Linked DNA regions of Macaca mulatta. The protein of the gene in region 1 purifies or fractionates together with the protein of each later gene. This does not show direct contact. Links are inferred from orthologs where the notes say so. Each region holds a gene or a part of one and is shown in the gene's direction. Other genes may lie near its edges.

Region 1 (10,129 bases):
TAAAAGGAAAAATTATTGATACCCCCTATAAATCTGCTCCTCTCTGTGTGCCCCACATCACTAAAGGACAATTCCATTCTTTTTTATGCCAAAACCCCCTCTTTTCTCACATCCTACATCTAATCCTCAGCAAGTCTTGTTACTTCTATCTTTAAATCTATCTAGAATTGCGATTACTTCCCACCACCTTTATCATCCACTAGCACCCAAGCCTCAGCCACTGTCTGTTGGACTACTAGTCTCCCTCCTTCCTTATAGGTCCTTGCATTCGATGGTCTTTACACAGCAGCTAAATGGATCCTTATTTGTTTGTTTGAGACGGTCTCGCTCTGTTGCCCAGGCCGGAGTACAGTGGTGCAATTTAGGCTCACTGCAATCTTCACCTCCTGGGCTCATGCAATTCTCTGACCTCAGACTCCTGAGTAGCTGGGAATACAGATGCATGCCACCACACCCAGCTAATCTTTGCATTTTTCGTAGAGAAGGGATTTTACCATGTTACCCAGGCTGGTCTCAAACTCATGGGCTCAAGCAATCCACCTGCCTCGGCCTCTCAAAGTGCTGGGATTACAGGCATGCAGCCCAAATGGATCCTTTTAAGACACGTTATACCCCAGCCTGGACAACACAGCAAGACCCTGTCTCAAAAAAAAAAAATCTAAAAGCTAAAAAAAACTAGGCTGGGCAATGGACCTCACGTTGAGAGGTCAATGTGGGCAGATCACTTGAGCGCAGGAGTTTGAGACCAGCCTGGGCAACATGGTGAAACTCGTCTCTACAAAAAAATGCAAAAATTAGCTGGGCCTGGTGGCAGGTACCTGTAGTCCTAGCTACTCAGGAGGCTAAGGTGGGATGATCACTCGAGCCCAGGAGTTTGAGGTCGCAGTGAGCTATGACCACACCACTGCACACCACTCTGAGTAACAGAGTAAGAGCCTCTCTCAAAAAAAAAAAAAAAAGATACATTATGCAATTTTCTTTTTTTTTTTTTTTTTTTTTTTTTGAGACGGAGCCCGCCACCACGCCCGGCTAATTTCTTTTTGTATTTTTAGTAGAGACGGGGTTTCACCGTGTTAGCCAGGATGGTCTCGATCTCCTGACCTCGTGATCCGCCCGCCTCGGCCTCCCAAAGTGCTGGGATTACAGGCTTGAGCCACCGCGCCTGGCCCATTATGCAATTTTCACTCCACTGCTCAGAACTCTCTCACAGCTTTCCATCTTGATCAGAACAAAATCCAAAGTTATTACTTTATTCCACCTACTAACCTTCTTGCTGTTCCTCAAATATGCCAAACACTTGTATCAGAGCTTGGCCCTACTGTTCCCTCCACCTGGAACGCTCTTTCTCCAGATATTCCCCATGACTCACTCCCTTACTTTTTCAAGTCATTGTTTAATTGTTACTTCATCAGAGAGTCCTGCTTTGACTGATACCTAGAAAATCCTTGTCACTGTCTAATCCCTTACCTACTTAATTTTTCTCTGTAGCACTTACTACCAACTGATATATATCTGTTGGAGTTTTGTCTGCAAACAGCGGTGTTTAATGGAGTGGGCTCTCACTATTTATTGGTAAATGAATGGAATAAATTTGGGGTGCATCCGCTCTGGGCTAGGCATTGTGCTAGGGCTGGGTGTAGAAACAGATGATCATTAGGATGAAAATTAGTGAAACATGCAATGAAGAAGTTTTTTTTTTTTTGTTTTGTTTTTGTTTTTGAGATGGAGTCTCACTCTGTTTTCCAGGCTGGAGCACAGTGGCGTGATCTCAGCTCACTGCAACCTCCGCCTCCCAGATTCAAATGATTCTCCTGCCTCAGCCTCCCTAGTAGCTGGGACTACAGTTGCCCACCACCACATCCAGCTAATTTTTATACTTTTAGTAGGGACAGGGTTTCACCATGTTGGCCAGGCTGGTCTCGAACTCCTGACCTCAAGTGATCCACCCGCCTTGGCCTCCCAAGGTGCTGAGATTATAGGTGTGAGTCACTGTGCCCAGCCTAACAAAGAGGTTTCTTAAGCCCAGATAGATGAGGCTCTAGCAAATGACAAGCTATTTTGAGTTAGTTTAAAATCTCCAGGCTAACATGCATTAGGAATTGATGAATCTGACAGAGGGGCACACGGGAGCTCATTATACTATTCTCTCCACTCTTCTTTTTTTGAGACGGCGTCTGTCTGTCACCCAGCCTGGATGGAGTGCGGTGGCACGAACATGGCTCACAGCAGCCTCAACTTCCTGGGCTTGAGCAATCCTCCCACCTCAGCCTTCCAAGTAGCTAGGACTACAGGCACTCACCATCACATCTAGCTAACTTAAGTAGAGATGAGGTCTCCCTATGTTGCCAGGGTAATCTCAAACTCCTGAGCTCAAGTGATCCGCCTGCCTCAGCCTCCCAAAGTGAAAATCTCTGTATGTTTGAAATGTTCGCTAATAAAGGTCTTCTTTTTTTAATCTTTAGATAAATTACAGCTTAGACTCTTGTAACTAAAATAGCTCAACCCTTAGGGGTGCTTTTAGAGATGTTGTGGGGACTCGAAGAATCCATGCCAATTTTGGTGGCAATTTGTGAGCACTTTGAAAGGACAGACGTGATCAGTGGTAACCAGCACGGGTTTACTAAGTTAGAGTATACCAAGCTGAATTTCCTCCATTTTAAATTTTATTTTTAAATTTTTATTTATTTATTTAGAGACCTAGTTATGAGACTGGCCAAGTTTTATATTTTTTGAGACGGGGTTTCACCATGTTGCCAAGGCTGGTCTCGAACTCCTGGGCTCAAATGATCCACAAGCCTTGGCTTCCCAAAGTGCTGAGATTACAGGTGTGGGCCACCATGTCTGGCCTTAGTCCATTTTAAATAGGGTTAGGAATCTGACTTACCGGAGAAATGTAGTAGACAACATATCTGGATTTCAGCAAATTGTTTGGCAGAATCTTACGATATTTGTTTGAGAGGCCCACAGTAAGGTGGAAAGGGCTGCTTTGTTTTATATAAATTTAGGGGAAAGAGCTTCATCCTGGAGTCAACAGATTGGGTTTGAATCCTGGCTCTGCCCCTTCCTAGCTGTGTGTTTGGTTACTCCACCTCTCTGAGCCTTGATTTCTTCATCAGTAAAGGTAATATTCACCTCCTAGGGTTGTTGGGAGGGAGAATGAGAACTTCTAAAGTACTCGAACCTAGTGCCTGGGACACTATATTTGCAGGCAAGATGAAGGGGGGTGGGGAAGTAATAGGAAACAGACAGCCCAAATCGAGAGCCATAATAGTCTCTCTTAGTGCCAGTGCAGGCCTGTGATTCTGTTCTTAAAAACGTCTGGGGCAAGCTGCAGGAAAGATCCCAGATAGCCTATGTTCTACCATAAGCCTAAGGGAGGAGGACTCCAGGCATGGAGATTACTCATGGCACCTGCTAAGGAGAAACGCTACTGACCAGAGAGAGGTCCACTCATGTACTCGATACTTGGTGAATTCCTGTCCTGACCTCACTGCCTCTAGAAGTGTTCAGATGGAAACTGGAAGGTCTATAAGAGGCAATTTGGCAGGACACAGTGGCTCACGTCTGTAATCCAAGCATTTTGGAAGGCCAAAGTAGGAGGACCACTTAAGCCCAGGAGTTTAAGACCAGCCTAGGCAACGTAGTGAGATCCATCTCCACTAAAAATTTAAAAATTTGCCAGGTGTGGTGGTGTGCACCTGTAGTCCCAGCTACTCAGGAGAGTGAGAGAATCAGTGCACCCCGGAGTTCGAGGTTGCAGTGAGCCATGATCGCGCCACTGTACTCCAGGCCTGGGTGACAGAGCGAGACACTGTCTCAAAAACATAAATAAATGAAATAGGCCGTGTGCGGTGGCTCACGACTGTAATCCCAACGTTTCGGAAGGCGGAGGCCAGCGGATCACCTGAGGACATGAGTTCGAGACTAGCCTGACCAACATGGTGAAATCCCAACTCTACTAAAAATACATAAATTAGCCGGGCTTGGTGGTGGGCACTGTAATCCCAGATACTCGGGAGGCTGCGGCAGGAGAATGGTTTGAATCCAAGAGGCGGAGGTTGCAGTGAGCCAAAAGCGCCTCACTGCATTCCAGTCTGAGACTAAAAAAAAAGAGGCGATTTCCCACATCGGTGGAAATTTGAGCTGTTTAAACTCTGGATGCCTTTTTCAGTTCTAATATTCCAGATCTCCGTGGTGGATAAACACTTAATTTCCCTTCTCCTGCGCAGAGCTCCTGAGTCCTGGCCCGCTGGGAACCTATCACTTCTATAAAAGTCCGAGGTCCGGACTGTCTCTCCCGGAACCCTGAGGCTGATGAGACAAAGCGAGACAGGGGCCTGGGCCAAATGGAGTCTCCTTGCGGCCTCATGAAGGCCGCCAGAGGGCGCCCGGGACCGACCGCAAAAGCAACTTCCTTCCTCTTCCGCTAACTTCCCGGCAGCCCGCCGCTCAGGGTGGGGGCCCCGAGGGCTGGGGCCGTCGGCTTCCCCCTGGGGTTCCCCCGCTTCGGAGAAAGTCAAGCATTAGGCGCAGCCAAAGCCGAGCTGCAGCGGAAGCTCCCGGCCCAAGGTGGCGCTGGGTCAGCGGGTACCTTCTCGGCGGTCCCCTAGCCGGCCGAACTAGTGGCCTGTCGCCCCGCTGGTGGCCTGTCGCGCCTGGTGGCCTGTCGCCCCGCTCCCTACCCTGAGTGAGCCTGTCCCCTCTCAGGGGCGCGCCCGAGTCGCTCCGGGTTGGCTGCGCCAGTCCAGAGTTAAACTTTCAGCCAATGAAAAAGGGCGCGAGGCGTGACGCACGGAAACGTCATGGGAATTCCCCCCTCCGGGGGGCCGAGAAGGGGCTTTCCCGGCCCCAAGCCCTGCTGGCCGGCGAGGTGTCGCGACCGGTCCCAGGTGGGTCGGGCGCGGAGAGAAGCCGCAACCAGAGCCGCCGCCACGGTGAGTGGCTGGATTCAGACCCCTGGGTGGCCGGGACAAGAGAAGAGCGGGAGGAGGGCCTTTAGCGGACAGCGCCGGGGGCTGGAGAGCAGCAGCGGCGCGCAGGCAACGACACTCAGATCCACGTCGACATCCTTGTACAAAGACACACGGACCCGTACGTACACCTGTACCTGTGCTGGCGCACACACGGCAGCGTCCGTGCAGTCGCACTCGCACACACATGCACACGGAGACGTGCCCACCGGTGCACTGGTGCCTGCACCCACACCCTTCACGCACAAACTCAAGATACGCTCACCCGTGTCTGTACATCAAGACAGGCGCTGACACACACCCACACTGAGAAGCTCAGGACTCACCTGTCTACACACATGCTCGCTTGCACACTCATGTTGACGCCATGGACACACAACATGCACCCAAGCACTAGAGCCGAAACACACTTGTGGAGCTGTGATGGAGACACACGCTTGTATTGGGTGGGGAGCGTGCAGAGGTCTCCCTGTCGCCTGCGTGCCCAGAGCCGGTGCGGTGTGGAACCAGCTGCTGTTGCGAGGTTTGGGAAAAAGAGGAGCCGGAGGAGAAGACACTTTTCCCGCGGCCCCAGAATCGTGTTCTCGGGGCAGAACCCCGGGGCCTCCCACAGGAAAGAGCCCCCGCCTACAGGCTGTTCGAAGGGGAGGCCATCAGACAGCAGGAACGTCCCCCCAAAAGCCCCCGGGTTTATCAGCCGTGGCCTCCCTCCTGGCAGAAATTCCCAAGGTTGCTCCAGACCGGGGGAGGGGAGCGGGAGGCGGACTTGGCTCCAGACTGCCAACCTCCCCACGGCCGTGAGGGACCCTCCTGTTCCCTGCCCTGGAGGGAGGAGGGGGCTTAACCCCCACCGCGGCTCCCCTGACTCTCCTCTCCCTCTACCCGCTGAAAAGCAGCGGGAACCCGTAGACTGGCGAGGGCCTCCCGCCCCTCCCGTCGTGAGGGCGGTGCCACTGGCGTCATTTCCAGGCCCGCCCCCTCCGGCCCCGCCTCCCCTTGGTATTTTCGGGACTTTCCTAAGCTGCTCTAACTTTCCTGCCCCTTCCCCGGCCAAGCCCAACTCCGGATCTCGCTCTCCACCGGATCTCACCCGCCACACCCGGACGGGCGGCTGGAGGAGGTCGGACCGTCCCCCAAATCTGGGCCCCCATCTCCCGCCCACCCCCATTTAGATCTGACCCCCTCCCCCACGCCACTCCTCCCAACTTTAGGCGGGCGCCTAAAATTCTGGGAAGCAGAACCTGGCCGGAGCCACTAGACAGAGCCGGGCCTAGCCCAGAGACATGGAGAGTTGCTACAACCCAGTGAGTCACGCTGCCTGCCCCTGACCCGGCCGGCCGCCCCCCGTGTCTGTCCACCTGTCTGCCCGAGCCCCCTCTGCTGCCACACACCTGCATGCTCGCAGATGCTCTCAGCCTACCAGTCTGTCCATCTGTCTACAACTCTGCCTCCAAAAGGAGCTTTCTCTTGGGCCTGAGGAGGAGGGGGAGTGACCACTGAGGACTTGGAGATGGGAGGTGGGGCCGTGGGGGGCGCTGAGAGTTGGATGCCACCCCCAGTCTGTCTCCAAACCAGGGTCTGGATGGCATTATTGAATATGATGATTTCAAATTGAACTCCTCCATTATGGAACCCAAGGAGCCAGCCCCAGAGACAGGTCAGTAAGTTCACTAACCTCCTCTAGTCCTAAAGGTAGGGGGAGGGAGAGCATGTGCCTTCTGCCTGGGGGAAGGGCTGGGAGATAGTGGCTAAGCAAGGTCTCCCTGTCCCCAGCTGATGGCCCCTACCTGGTGATCGTGGAACAGCCTAAGCAGGTGAGTAAGCAAAAGGGAGGGTGTGGAATGGCTTCAGCTTTGGGGACAAATGGGGTAGTGGTAGCTGGCAGGCCATGGAGGAGCCATTGCCCAAGGAGGCCACAGGGGATTGGATGGTCACTGCTGCTGATCAGAGTGCTGTAGTTGTGGTTCAGAGCAGATACTACCAGGCACTGTGGTCACTGCTGGCCGGGGTGGTCTTCCCTGATCATAATGCTACTCTGCCCTTGGACCTTCAGAGAGGCTTCCGATTTCGATATGGCTGTGAAGGCCCCTCCCACGGAGGACTGCCCGGTGCCTCCAGTGAGAAGGGCCGAAAGACCTATCCCACTGTCAAGGTGAGCCAGGATGGTGCTGGAGGGTTGGCTAAGTGGACAGCACGCCCAAGGCCCTGACAGTCCCTGCCTCTCCTAGATTTGTAACTACGAGGGACCAGCCAAGATCGAGGTAGACCTGGTAACACACAGTGACCCACCTCGTGCTCATGCCCACAGTCTGGTGGGCAAGCAATGCTCGGAGCTGGGGATCTGCGCCGTTTCTGTGGGGCCCAAGGACATGACTGCCCAGTAGGTGCCCTCTACCCCTGGCCCCCACTGATATGCCCCTCACTCTCTGCCAGTCCTAAGCCCCAGCCCACCTCCATGAGCTTAGCATCTGACCAAGGGGAGAGAGGTAGGTTGGCCCCAAACCCAAGGGCCCAAGTAGAAACTCCAATGGCTTCCTTGAGGAAGTAGGGCTGAGCTGAGCCCTGACAATGGGAAAGGCACCTCAGGAAGAAAGAACTGCACAGCCAAAGGCCTCTGATTCTCCCATCTCCTCAGATTTAACAACCTGGGTGTCCTGCACGTGACTAAGAAGAACATGATGGGAACTATGATACAAAAACTTCAGAGGCAGCGGCTCCGCTCTAGGCCCCAGGGCCTTACGGGTATGGGTGCGGTGGGGGGAGGGTCATGGGAGGTGCTCATGGAAGGAGCAGGGAGGGAGAAGCCCAGGGGTCACACATGTACCCACTGCCCAGAGGCCGAGCAGCGGGAGCTGGAGCAGGAGGCCAAAGAACTGAAGAAGGTGATGGATCTGAGTATAGTGCGGCTGCGCTTCTCTGCCTTCCTTAGAGCCAGTGATGGCTCCTTCTCCCTGCCCCTGAAGCCAGTCATTTCCCAGCCCATCCATGACAGCAGTGAGTATCCTGACTACCTGGGGTGCCAGGCCTGGTGGCAGAGGTGGCACGAGGGGTGACCTTAAGCTGTGGAGTCAAACAGGCCCGGGTTTCAGAACCTGGCCCTGCCACATAGATGCTGAGTGATCCTGAGCAAGTCATTTCCTCCCCCTGAAGCTTCTATCTTTAGTAAATGCGAATATTGGGTGGTTCCTGCAGCTCCAGGGGTTGCTAAGATAAGGAATACAGAGCACCAAGCTCCTTAAATGTGGCCATGGCTATTGCATCATCTCAGCTAATCCATATCCCACCCCATAGAGTCTCCGGGGGCATCAAACCTGAAGATTTCTCGAATGGACAAGACAGCAGGCTCTGTGCGGGGTGGTGATGAAGTTTATCTGCTTTGTGACAAGGTGCAGAAAGGTGAGACTGGAGCCCAGGCTGGGCGCCAAGGACATCGAATATAAGACTGGGGCCAGGGAAGCTCTAGGATAAATGGCCCCGGAGATTCCACCGGGAGCTGCGGCCAAGCTTCCGTTTTCCTTGTAGATGACATTGAGGTTCGGTTCTATGAGGATGATGAGAATGGATGGCAGGCCTTTGGGGACTTCTCTCCCACAGATGTGCATAAACAGGTATCCAGGGCTAGGGCCCAGGCTGGGGGCTAAATTAGGCTAAGGACTCACTGACACCCTGTGTCTCCCTGCACCCCCCAGTATGCCATTGTGTTCCGGACACCCCCCTATCACAAGATGAAGATTGAGCGGCCCGTAACAGTGTTCCTGCAACTGAAACGCAAGCGAGGAGGGGATGTGTCTGATTCCAAACAGTTCACCTATTACCCTCTGGTGGAAGGTGGAGCTGGGCTGAGGACCCCAGGGGGATGGTGGGGGGCCAGGCTGGGCTAGAAGGTCCCAAGAGCTAGATGTGGGGATGCATGAGCCAAGTCAGGAGTGTGGAGGGTCTGAGGAGGTGCTTCCTAGGAGCCAGCCTGAGGGCTCTTCTGGGAAGGGCCCCTGAGGCATGACACAATAATTGGGCTCAATCTCATTTTCCTCTGCCCCCAGACAAGGAAGAGGTGCAGCGGAAGCGGAGGAAGGCCTTGCCCACCTTCTCCCAGCCCTTCGGGGGTGGCTCCCACATGGGTGGAGGCTCTGGAGGTGCAGCGGGGGGCTATGGAGGAGCTGGAGGAGGTGAGGGGGTGCTGAGGGAGGGAGGGGTAAAGGCAAGAGAAGCTGTGGAGGAAAAAAAACCAGGGAGAGGCCAGGCGTGGTGGCTCACACCTGTAATCCCAGTACTTTGGGAGGCCAAGGCAAGCGGATTACCTGAGATCAGGAGTTCGAGACCAGCCTGGCCAACAGGGTGAAACCTCATCTTTACTAAAAATACAAAAATTAGCTGGGCATGGTGGCAGGCGCCTGTAATCCCAGCTACTCGGGAAGCTGAGGCTGGAGAATCGCTTGAACCCGGGAGACAGAGGTTGCAGTGAGCCGAGATCGCACCACTGCACTCCAGGCTGGGCAATAAGAGCAAAACTCCATCTCAAAAAAAAAAAAAAAAAAAAACCAAAACTGGGAGAGTCCTGGCTGGTGCCCGTTTCCCACAGCCCTGCCTGTACCCACAGGTGGCAGCCTCGGTTTCTTCCCCTCCTCCCTGGCCTACAGCCCCTACCAGTCCGGCGCGGGCCCCATGGGCTGCTACCCGGGAGGCGGGGGCGGGGCGCAGATGGCCGCCTCGGTGCCCGGCAGGGACTCCGGAGAGGAAGCCGCGGAGCCGAGCGCCCCCTCCAGGGCCCCCCAGTGCGAGCCGCAGGCCCCGGAGATGCTGCAGCGAGGTATGGCCTCCAGGGCACGGACGGTCGGGGCGCTGGGGCTGAGGACCCAGCTCTGACCCACGCCCTCTGTCGCCCCCAGCCCGAGAGTACAACGCGCGACTGTTCTGCCTGGCGCAGCGCAGCGCCCGGGCCCTACTCGACTACGGCGTCACCGCGGACGCGCGCGCGCTGCTGGCGGGACAGCGCCACCTGCTGACGGCGCAGGACGAGAACGGAGACACGTAGGCAACAGAGGGCCTGGCGGACGCGGCGCGGGGTCGGGTGGGGGCAGGAAAGGGACCGGCACAGAGCCGGGCTCTGCAGTTTTCGGACACACCAGGCTTCAAGTCCGGCCTCTCTGTTCACCAGCTCT
Region 2 (10,279 bases), on another chromosome or scaffold:
AACTTTAAAAAATGTATTTAAAGTAATTGATGTTGTGTTTGTGACCTGGCTTGAAGTTCTCTTTTGGTGAAGAGCATGCATAAAAAGGTTTGATAATTATTTACTCAGTGAACAAATGTTTTGAGTGCCTTATGAGTCAGGCATTTTTGTGAGTGCTGGAGATAATAGTGATGAAAAACAAAAGTCCCTTTTCCTTATAGAACTTAAAGTGTGGGAAGGCAGATAGTACAGAAATAAATTGATGGATGGATAGATGGATAGGTAGGTATTTACTATATAGCAGGTACTGTTTCTGCTTTTGTTTAGTGCTGTGGAAATGAGTAGAGCCAGGACAAAGGAAAAGAAGAGGTGATGCTGGTGGGTATTATTTTAAGTTGGATGGTTAGAGAAAGTATTAAATAGGGGACATTTGAACAGAGTCCTCCATGAAGGAAGTACAAATAATAAAAAGAGGAATAGCCAGCACAAAGGCTCTGAGGTTGCAGCACACTTTACCCCTCAAGAAAGAACGGTGACAGAAAGTGAGAAAGAGAGAAGTAAAATATGAGTTCACAGTGGTGGGAATGTATGTGGGTGATAGAAGGACCCAACAGGCAACCATAAAAGACATTGGCTTTTACTCTGAGTGAAATGGGAAGCTCTTAGTGGGTGTTGAGCAGTGGATTAGTAAGATAAAACTTATTTCATTATGCATTTCAGGTACTTACTCCTAATCATAGTAATTAATAAATTATTAATTTGGAGTATAGGAAGTTCATATGTGAAGTGATGGGTGTTGGCTCTTTTAGAATTCAGTGAAAATCTTAAACTTCTTGCAGAAAGTGATTCCAAGCTTTGAGTTACTCTTCCTGATGATCAGTACAATTGGTTTACTTTCTTGTTATCTTTGTCCTAAAGCTTCTTAAATCACTTTGTAGCTCAAGTCTAATGGATTATACCAGCCCATGTAAATTCTGAAAATGTTAATATTGCCCAGTGATTCAGAGGCTTTAGTAATTTGCTTAAAGTACTTCTTGTTTTATTGGTATAAACTGTATTCCTCAGTGTCTACTATGATTTCAAAGTTAGTACTTGGCTTGGAATTTTCCTTTGAAGCTCGCAACTGTAGTTCAATATAAGATAGGCTGTCAGAGCTCCACTTATTTAACAACTGTATCTGTGCCCACTTTTATTCCTTTAAGCATCCTAGAGTAAGCATTTCAAATGGTTTTGAATTATCAAAGGTCATTTTGAATAACAAGATTATTGAGAAAATATTTTAAAAGTTCATGAGAAAGTTGTGTAAAATACACCCCCCCACCCAAGGTAGGCCTGAAATGCCACTAAATCAACAAAGGATAGTGAATAAAAGTTACCCTGTATTTTCTAGGATTTGGGGAAAGTGGAGTAGCTCTACTTTCTTTAAATAGCCTATTTTAAATTTGTTTGAACAGCAGAATTATTATACCTCTTTTTCATTCAGAATGGAGTTGACTGTAGGCATCTTTTTAAAGTACCCATAGGTCAGGACCTCTCTGGACTTTCCACTACCTTGAAAGACACTGCCAGAAGAATGTTGTTCCCCACACTTACAAAAGGAACAGTAATGTTCTTTTCTCCAGCCATTATTTTATGCAAAGTCCAACTTTATTTTATCAGAGCTATCTGAACTTTCAATGTATTTGAAACATTCATTGACTAATATCTTTAATGGAGCTTTTAATGTCTCTGATCATTTATCCTTTGTTAGGTTAGCAGAACTGGAACAACACAGTTACTTTCACAGCTTCAAATGATACTTTCATAGTCATTTGTGGACATGTACTATGCAGTGTCACAAAGTTTGAGCCACCTGACAAACCTATTTCTAGTTGAGATCAACAGGGTGATGCTCTGCCTTCTTGTTGCAGCTGTCATACTGTAAACAAGTGTCATTTTCATGGTCCATGAGGAAAAGTATAGCATTTTCCTCATTTTGGTGCTTTTCATTAGTGATTGGGCAGTTTAAAATGGCCCCAAAACATAGCCCTGAAGTTCTGTTTAATGTTCCTGAGTGCAGGAAGGTTGTAATTTGCCTTAAAGATAAACTAATGTGTATTAAATAAACTTAATTCAGGCATTAGTTATAATGCTGTTGACCATGAGTTCAATGCTGATGAATCAATCTATATTAAAGATATATTTAGACAGAAACACACATAAAAAAGGTTATGCGTTGATCAGTTGGCAACAATGTTGTGACCAGAGGCTTGTGAGAACTGTATTTCCCCTAGGAGCAATGGCTCAGTATTTGTTAATTCAGTGGTTGCAGCAATTTTATAGAACGCAATTACTGTGAATGCAAATCAACTGTATTTCATTAACAGTGGTGATTTATAGGGACTTTAGATACCAGAAGTGTTTCATAATTCCCTTTCTCGAAACCATTGTTTTAATATGTTTAAATGCATGCATGCAGAGTTGTGATGTTAAACATAATTTTACTGTGGGTTCTGGTCAAAAAGAGGAAATGTCATCAGGTAACTTGAAAGATACGTTATTCTAAACATTATCCTCCAGAAAATTGGCATGTACAAGAAGCATATTGAATGCTCAGCAAATAATTTGTTTTAGAGTAATAATCTTTGAGTATTGTAGTGATTCTAGTTTTGGAAAAGAAGGCAGTATCAGTGTTAGAGAATAATATTCTTTCAGGATTTTATGTGGTTACTTCAAGGTGTATGAAAGAAGACTCACTTGGGTGTTAAATTCTTGTCCCTGCTTTACTTAAAGCTAGTAATCTTGAGAAATTTACTAAATCATTTTAAGCCTGATTACCTTGCCTGCAAAGTGAGGAACATTTTCAGTTTAAAATTTTATTTCTTTTATTAGTATTCTTCCTGACCTTGAATCATTTCTGTTCCCATCATATCCAGTTGCCAAGAAATCCATGAACCTTAATGTTGTTTATTAGCCATCAGATTTTATTTCACTGAACTCAAGTTCAGTCACATTAGTTACCGATAAAATCATGTTATGTATATTAATATATATAACTTATATATATTAATATATTATATTAAATGTATAATATATTAATATATAAAAATATATTAATATATATAAATATATAACATGATTTTATCGGTAACTGTGACTGAACTTGAATATATCAAATATTTGATATATCTTGACATTTTGTATTATGGTAAGAAGAAATAAAAGACCTTCCTCAAATTTTAGGATATGGACTTCTGTTTGTTGATGTTGGTGTTTTATCATACACTGTTGTAAATCATACTAAAGGTTTTCTCTGAAAAAGACTAGAATTGACAATACTTCATTTGTTAACAGTTTCAAGTTTTAGATCACGGGTGCTTAATTTCTTGTGTGTGCACAATATGTTGGCATTATTTTATCTGACCTCAAAGATGTCCATATAGATACCAACAAAGGATAAAGTGTAAGAATAAATATCATGAAAAGATGCTGTATCAGATAAAATTCTAGAGCCAGGTTTAAAAAACATAAAGGTAAACATGCTTGATATGTAAAAATTGAGAAATATGATAAAAACAGAAATGTTTAAAGCATCTGTAATACCACTGCCTAAGATGCAGTTTATTTTGAAATGTTGTCTTCTAGTCTTCATACAGTTTAAAAATCATATTATAATCATTATTATTTCCAGTATTTTCCCCTTAGCGTAATATAATATAACATCCGTGTTTTAAAAAATGTTTTATGAACGTCATGTTTAGGGATTACACTGTATATATCCCATCTCATAGATTCCTTTATATTGAGCATTTGAATTTTTACTTTTATTTACATTTATTTTTATCTTTATATTTGCTTTTGTGGATAAACTGCAGTGAGCATCCTCTGTATAATTTTTTTTTTCTGTTTTAGGATTACTTCCTTAGGATAGATTGCCAGAAGTGGAGTTACTGGGTCAGAGGGTATGAACTTATGAACTTTTTTTTTTAAATAAATTTTTTGTTTCTGTCCAGTCATTTGTAAAAGAATTAAAATAATAATGATTATAATTGTTACCTGCTTGAAAACTGTGTCTGAAGGCAAGATTCTGTGATCAGAGAAGTTTGGGAAATACCAGGATAAAAAGCCTTTTAATCTGATTTACCTCAGCATTTCCCAAATTTAACTGAACACTGAAATTTTTTTTTGATACACTTCTTAAAATTTTGTGGAAGTTTTATATAGGATATAGTCTATGAACTACTGATGTAAAGTTGAAATTGTTTTATATGCTTATGTTTTATTGGTCAAAGGAATTAAACTATAAATCTTTATGCTAAAAATTATTAAAAGCGATTAATGTTGTTTACTATGGTTTTTGTGCATGTCTTTATAAAGTCTTATAACTTTTAAAATTGAAATGTTCTATATTGTTTACTAAAAAGCATTTTAATGCCTTGGTGGCATCAATACTTTTTTGCAATCATTAATGATATTTAGAATGTAGACATATAACATGAAAGTAGAACATAATATAGATTGTACAAATCTTGTTTTTTCCACTATTTTCCCCTGCAGAATGTGAAAACCTTTGCATCTTCTGATAGTCTAGCCAAGGTCCAAGAAGTAGCAAGCTGGCTTTTGGAAATGAATCAGGAACTGCTCTCTGTGGGCAGCAAAAGACGACGAACTGGAGGCTCTCTGAGAGGTAACCCTTCCTCAAGCCAGGTAGATGAAGAACAGATGAATCGTGTGGTAGAGGAGGAACAGCAACAGCAACTTAGACAACAAGAGGAGGAGCACACTGCAAGGAATGGTGAAGTTGTTGGAGTAGAACCTAGACCTGGAGGCCAAAATGATTCCCAGCAAGGACAATTGGAAGAAAACAATAATAGATTTATTTCAGTAGATGAGGACTCCTCAGGAAACCAAGAAGAACAAGAGGAAGATGAAGAACATGCTGGTGAACAAGATGAGGAGGATGAGGAGGAGGAGGAGATGGACCAGGAGAGTGATGATTTTGATCAGTCAGATGATAGTAGCAGAGAAGATGAACATACACATAGTAACAGTGTCACAAACTCCAGTAGTATTGTGGACCTGCCCGTTCACCAGCTCTCCTCCCCATTCTATACAAAAACCACAAAAGTGAGTATATTCATTATATTGTTAACTTGAGAAACTTTACATACCTATTTTAAGTAATGAAACTTTCCTCTCAGTCTTTGTATTACTAAAAATTAATCTTAAGATATGTAATAATAAAATGAACTAGTTTTTTGTTTTACAGAAGGTATTGGAAAGTATTAACAAGTAGAAATACTGATAATGGGACAATCTGAGTACAAATGGAGGGAAAGTAATTGAGCCTATTACTATGAAAAGTTATTAACATCAAATTTTTGTCTAAACCTTGAGTTCCGGGCAGGGATTAGTAGCTTGTGTGGGGTGTAGAGGTTTTGGGTGAAATATGATTTGTGTAAATCAAGTAATGAAGAAGCTTTTTATTTACAAAATGCAGCTGCTGGAGTGGGCTGTCTATTTACAAGTGTCACTCTAAGGCATAAATTACTCAAAAGTTGCCTCAAATTAGTTCTAGTTATTTATGATTTGAGAATTAGAAATAGTGGATATTCATGTAGAATAGACTTACAAGTTAAACTATATTTTGGAAAGGAACATTTTAACTTGAATAATAGCTTACTTGTTTTATAGACATTAAAATAATGTCTGTGGTAGTTCATCCTCTTACTCCTACTTGCTTATTTCTTACATTTTACAGTGATTTTAGGCCATAAACAATATACAAACTGATTTAACTGATTTGACATCATATCATTTAACCTAACTTGACTTGGAATGAAGTGTCTTACACACTTGGATTAATAATAGTTGAATTGCTAAATCATGTTTTACATCTGCTTGTAAAACCTTGACTTTCTAAAATGTGTTTGGCCCTAATTTACCTAGCCTGTCTGCAAGTCAGATTATATTTAGCTAGCATGATCTAAGAAGGACGTGACATCAAGTAGTGATTTTTCATCCATTGTATCATCCCTGTCTCAAGATGTTGAAGCAGTAGCTTTGGATCTCAGCCAGATGGCTCTACCGCTAACAACTATACACTGCTTTGTTAAGGCTCAGACCTTATATAGTGTCATTCCTCCCTTCTGTCCCCCCAGTCTTAATCCCCTTCTTCAAGGTTACTATATCAAAAGGGAGTTTATACAGCTCTTTTTTTCCTGAGGGTTCAGTTAGAGGAATAGGGGTTTAATACTTAAGTTCCAATTGCATTATCTTATTTCAGAAAGAGGTTCAATCAAAACTAAGCCTTGCAGAACAATGCAGAGTTATTGCTGATTTCTGCTACACTTTAAATTAAAAGCAAAAAAAGCTAGTTAGACAAAACTTTATCTTTTTCCAAAAGGAAAAGTCATCCTTATATTCTGTAGGAAACCTTCCAGTTCACAAGTTTGACAGGTACTTCATCTTTTCTTTACCTTCAAGATAAAATCATTAACAGAAATTTTATGTGTGTGATGATTACCTCTTTAAAAACGAAGTATACTGAATTTGTTAGTTTTTTTTCCTAGTGATTCTGAATCAGGAATAACAGTTATTCTTGTACATGCAAGATAACAAGAATGGACTGGGCCCTAACCATAGCAGGGATAGATGTGTGTATGCATTTGTATATATACACATGTACAATATAGATGTGTATATGCATTTATTATATAAGTGTGTATGTATACTTTTTGATATATTGTTGATCATGAGATGATTTGCCTTCATAAGTATGGCATGAAGAATACAAAGCTATTTGATTGCCAGGACAGTGATGCCCTTCTATAAGTACGATTTCAGTCTGAAATTTTTCTAAATGTTTTCCTTTTTGTCCATTCCTAAAACCCTTCTGCCAGAGTATTCCCGGAGCACTTTCAACAGCATTTAGAAAAGTCGCTTAGTACTGCTTTACCTAAAAAGAAAATGTCAATATTCTCCGTCTGTAGATGTTTTAATACAATAAATAGAAGCTCTCACTAGTTCAAGTACTTTATTTTGGAAGAGCTTTAAATTCTTGATCATTATAAAGTTAAGACACTTCTACAGACATTACCCTAGACCATAGTTTCATTCAAGTCTTAAACTTTGACTTTTGAGAGTAGAGGCATAAGAAATGAAATCCCATTTTTAAATGTTAATATAGGATTAGCTTTCTACAGATTTTACTCAGGATACCTTTCAAGTTTTATTTTTTGACGTTCTCATAAACAAACCCTGTGGACAGCTAGACTGAATTTTATCCGTCATCCCTAAATATGCTGCATAAGCAAATATGATATTAATGAGAAAAAAAGATGTTTAATTCTTCCTTGCATTGCTTTATTCTTTGAAAGCATTTTGAAAACTGTCAAAACTTTGAGGACAGTTTTTCCCCCCTTGTCACTAAAGGTTTGTTCTTTTGGGAGCCTTATGGCAAGCAATATATGTTAAAAATTCCATACTGTCTTAATGTTAAAAGTCAAGGGAAGTGATAGTCAAGAATTGCTATTTATTAAGCTCACACTGTTTGAAAGATCCTATGACAGATACATAAACAGAAGTTACAGAGAGGCCAAATGATCCACCCCAGATCACACTAAGTGATGAGAGATTTTAATCCTGATTTGCCTAATTGCAAAAAACCCCTTTCTCTTTCCATGTACTATGCTGCCCCCTATGGTAGAATATGACAAACATCACTAAACAAGATTTCCAATATAGTCATAGAGACTCTGGCGTGTGATGATTTTCTAATACTGTGTCCCATTTGAAGTGATCAGAGCTACCCTATAGAAAGGACAGAGAGCTCAGTTAACTACTTTTCTTTGTGGCACTTAACAAAACACTATTGAAGATTTTACAGCTCAAGGCTAAAGTAATCAGGAAGAAATGACGCTATTACAAAATCTGATAGAGGTCATACTCTCTCGAATCCATAAAACATGCTTTTAAAGCAGAGGTTGTGTGCTGGCTGTTCCTCTAAATTTGACTAGCCTGTAAATTCTAGAGTCAACTTGGTTCTCCAGATATAAATGTCTGTCTCTTCAGTTTTTACTTCCTTTGTCAACATCCTTATCATATATATTTTTTTAAAATTGTTTTCTGAAGAGATGCCCAGCTCATATTGAAGAATCTTTGACATATTTTATGCAGATATCAACTAATTTTCTACTAACATGAAAAACAAATGAGACAATTATTAGGCCAGATCTGGTATCCTGATCTTTTGATGAAGAGAAGTGTGTTTGAGCACTAATTTCTGATGCTTCCATATCTGTCATAGTGGCTTCCACCTGTTCTCTTCTCATATAACATCCTTACCTCAAATGAGTCTATTTTTTTTCCCATCCTGATTGTTGGATTCTTCCACCTGTTCTCGTCTCACATAACTTCCTTACCTGAAATTAGTCTATTTTTTTCCCATCCTGATTGTTAGATTCCTCTTAGTAATTAAACCGTGTTTATCCATTTGCCTCAAATAAGAAATAAATGTTTATCAAAAAATACATATGTATAAAGGATAGCCGGGTATGGTAGCTCACACTGTGATCCCAGCACTTTGGGAGGCTGAGGTGGGCAGATTGCTTGAGCCTAGGGGTTCAAGACCAGCGTGGGCAAACATGGCAAAACCCTGTCTCTACAAAAAACAAAAATTAGCTGAGTGTGATGGCATGCACCTGTGGTTCCAGCTACTTTGAGGGCTGAGGTGGGAGGATCATTTGGGCCCAGGAGGTTGAGGCTGCAGTGATCTGGGCCATAGAGAGTCCTGTTTCAGAATAAATAAGTAGAGAGGGGGGGAGTTGTGGAGAAGCATCTAGTATATTGGAGTTTAGAGGCATAAGACCCTTTCTTTCTTGTCTATAAGTTCTGAACAATAGAGGAATCAGGTAATAGGATCATTAACCAATCAGGGTATCTGGTCCACCATTCTCCAACCACCTCCTAGGACCAGAGCTGCTGAGAAACTTTGTAGGACAATGTGTCTAACATTGGAAATATAACAGGGCTCTAAGTTACACTCTATTGTAGAGTTCTAGAGAATGATAGCTTCTTCAGAAAGTCCCTGGCCTAGTCTACCTACAAGACAAATAACGTAAGTTCAAATTTTGTTTGGTGTAGACATGTCCAGAGAGCAAAAAATGCTATTTAAGGCAGTCATCTTGAGTAACATCCACTAGTAAACATGGCCCAGTGAATAGCCATGTCCCCTACCTTTGTGAGGGAGGAAAAATGAAACATTGACTCAGCATAGTTTAGCCCAATTTTAAACATGTGGGGAGGATGATGGAAATGGGAGAAATGGGGACAATGGGTGAGATGGGTTTTCCCTTAACATATTAGAGTGATAAGAACTTTTCAGATCTGAGTTTGAATTCTGATTATGCCACTTATATGTAACTGTAAGTATGTAATCTCAGTGAACCTATTACTTTATCTGTAAAATGAAGACTAGAATGCCTACCTCTTAAGGTTTTTGTAAGGATTAAGTGAAATAATTTATGTAAATCAGGTAGCATAGTGTCTGGGACACTCAAGATATTTTACAGATACAGGCCTTATAACATCATTTTATTTGTCTCCTGTGCCTTACCCCAAATCCCACAAAATACACTTCATTCCCCACAGCGGTTGTCAGTCTCTATATGTATGTTTTACGACCTTCAGCATTCAGTCATCATATCACCCTCTAGTGTAAAAAGAAGTAGAGAAATAAAGTCTTTTAAAAAGGTACACAGGAGGATTAGAAGAATACTATAATAAGCTAGGCCCATCTTCAATAAAAATAGACATAAATTTTGAAGCCGATGCTACCCACAGATCTCCCTAGCTGATAAAATATGTACCCTTTCCTTTCATTAGAATTTAAGTCAATTTCTGTAGACTTCCTTCTAATCTTTAGCTAAAGCTTCTGTATATTTAAATGCTTTAATGAATCTTCCATATGGATGCCACAATGAATTTTAGCTCATGGTTAATTTCTAATTAATGCTTGTTAATATAGTTTTAAATATATTTGTTAATATTGTGTTAAACCATAATAACTCTAAATGTTGGTGATAAACTGTATCTCATTCACTGCAGGTCATGACAGTTACTATTATTAATTATTTAAGAGATACGGCCTTGCTGTGTTGCCCAGGCTGACCTTGAACCCCTGGGTACAAGAGATCCTCCTGTGTAGTTGGGACGGCAGGCGTGGACCACCGTGCCCAGCTCAAAAAGTATTTTAATTATGGGGTTTCATTGTAGACTAAAGAATAATCTTCACACCAAATGGGCCATTTTAAAATTGTTT

The links.
Region 2: the proteins of NFKB2 (region 1) and FBXW7 purify together in Homo sapiens (affinity purification with mass spectrometry; 7 studies listed by BioGRID and IntAct, with this or other methods). This does not show direct contact. The link is inferred for Macaca mulatta from reciprocal best matches to the Homo sapiens genes NFKB2 and FBXW7.

The regions. Positions count from the first base shown.
Region 1 is NC_133414.1:114,502,678-114,512,806, forward strand, and holds the start of NFKB2 (nuclear factor NF-kappa-B p100 subunit), read left to right. Parts: upstream 1-4,425; 5' UTR 4,426-4,934; exon of another isoform or gene 4,935-5,091; intron 5,092-5,943; exon of another isoform or gene 5,944-6,181; 5' UTR 6,182-6,253; coding exon 6,254-6,274; intron 6,275-6,545; coding exon 6,546-6,627; intron 6,628-6,743; coding exon 6,744-6,784; intron 6,785-7,023; coding exon 7,024-7,122; intron 7,123-7,198; coding exon 7,199-7,350; intron 7,351-7,605; coding exon 7,606-7,712; intron 7,713-7,805; coding exon 7,806-7,964; intron 7,965-8,261; coding exon 8,262-8,366; intron 8,367-8,492; coding exon 8,493-8,578; intron 8,579-8,659; coding exon 8,660-8,798; intron 8,799-9,010; coding exon 9,011-9,136; intron 9,137-9,567; coding exon 9,568-9,777; intron 9,778-9,856; coding exon 9,857-9,998; intron 9,999-10,129. UniProt on the Homo sapiens protein: NF-kappa-B is a pleiotropic transcription factor present in almost all cell types and is the endpoint of a series of signal transduction events that are initiated by a vast array of stimuli related to many biological processes such as inflammation, immunity, differentiation, cell growth, tumorigenesis and apoptosis.
Region 2 is NC_133410.1:161,007,181-161,017,459, reverse strand, and holds the start of FBXW7 (F-box/WD repeat-containing protein 7), read left to right. Parts: upstream 1-4,515; 5' UTR 4,516-4,584; coding exon 4,585-5,085; intron 5,086-10,279. UniProt on the Homo sapiens protein: Substrate recognition component of a SCF (SKP1-CUL1-F-box protein) E3 ubiquitin-protein ligase complex which mediates the ubiquitination and subsequent proteasomal degradation of target proteins.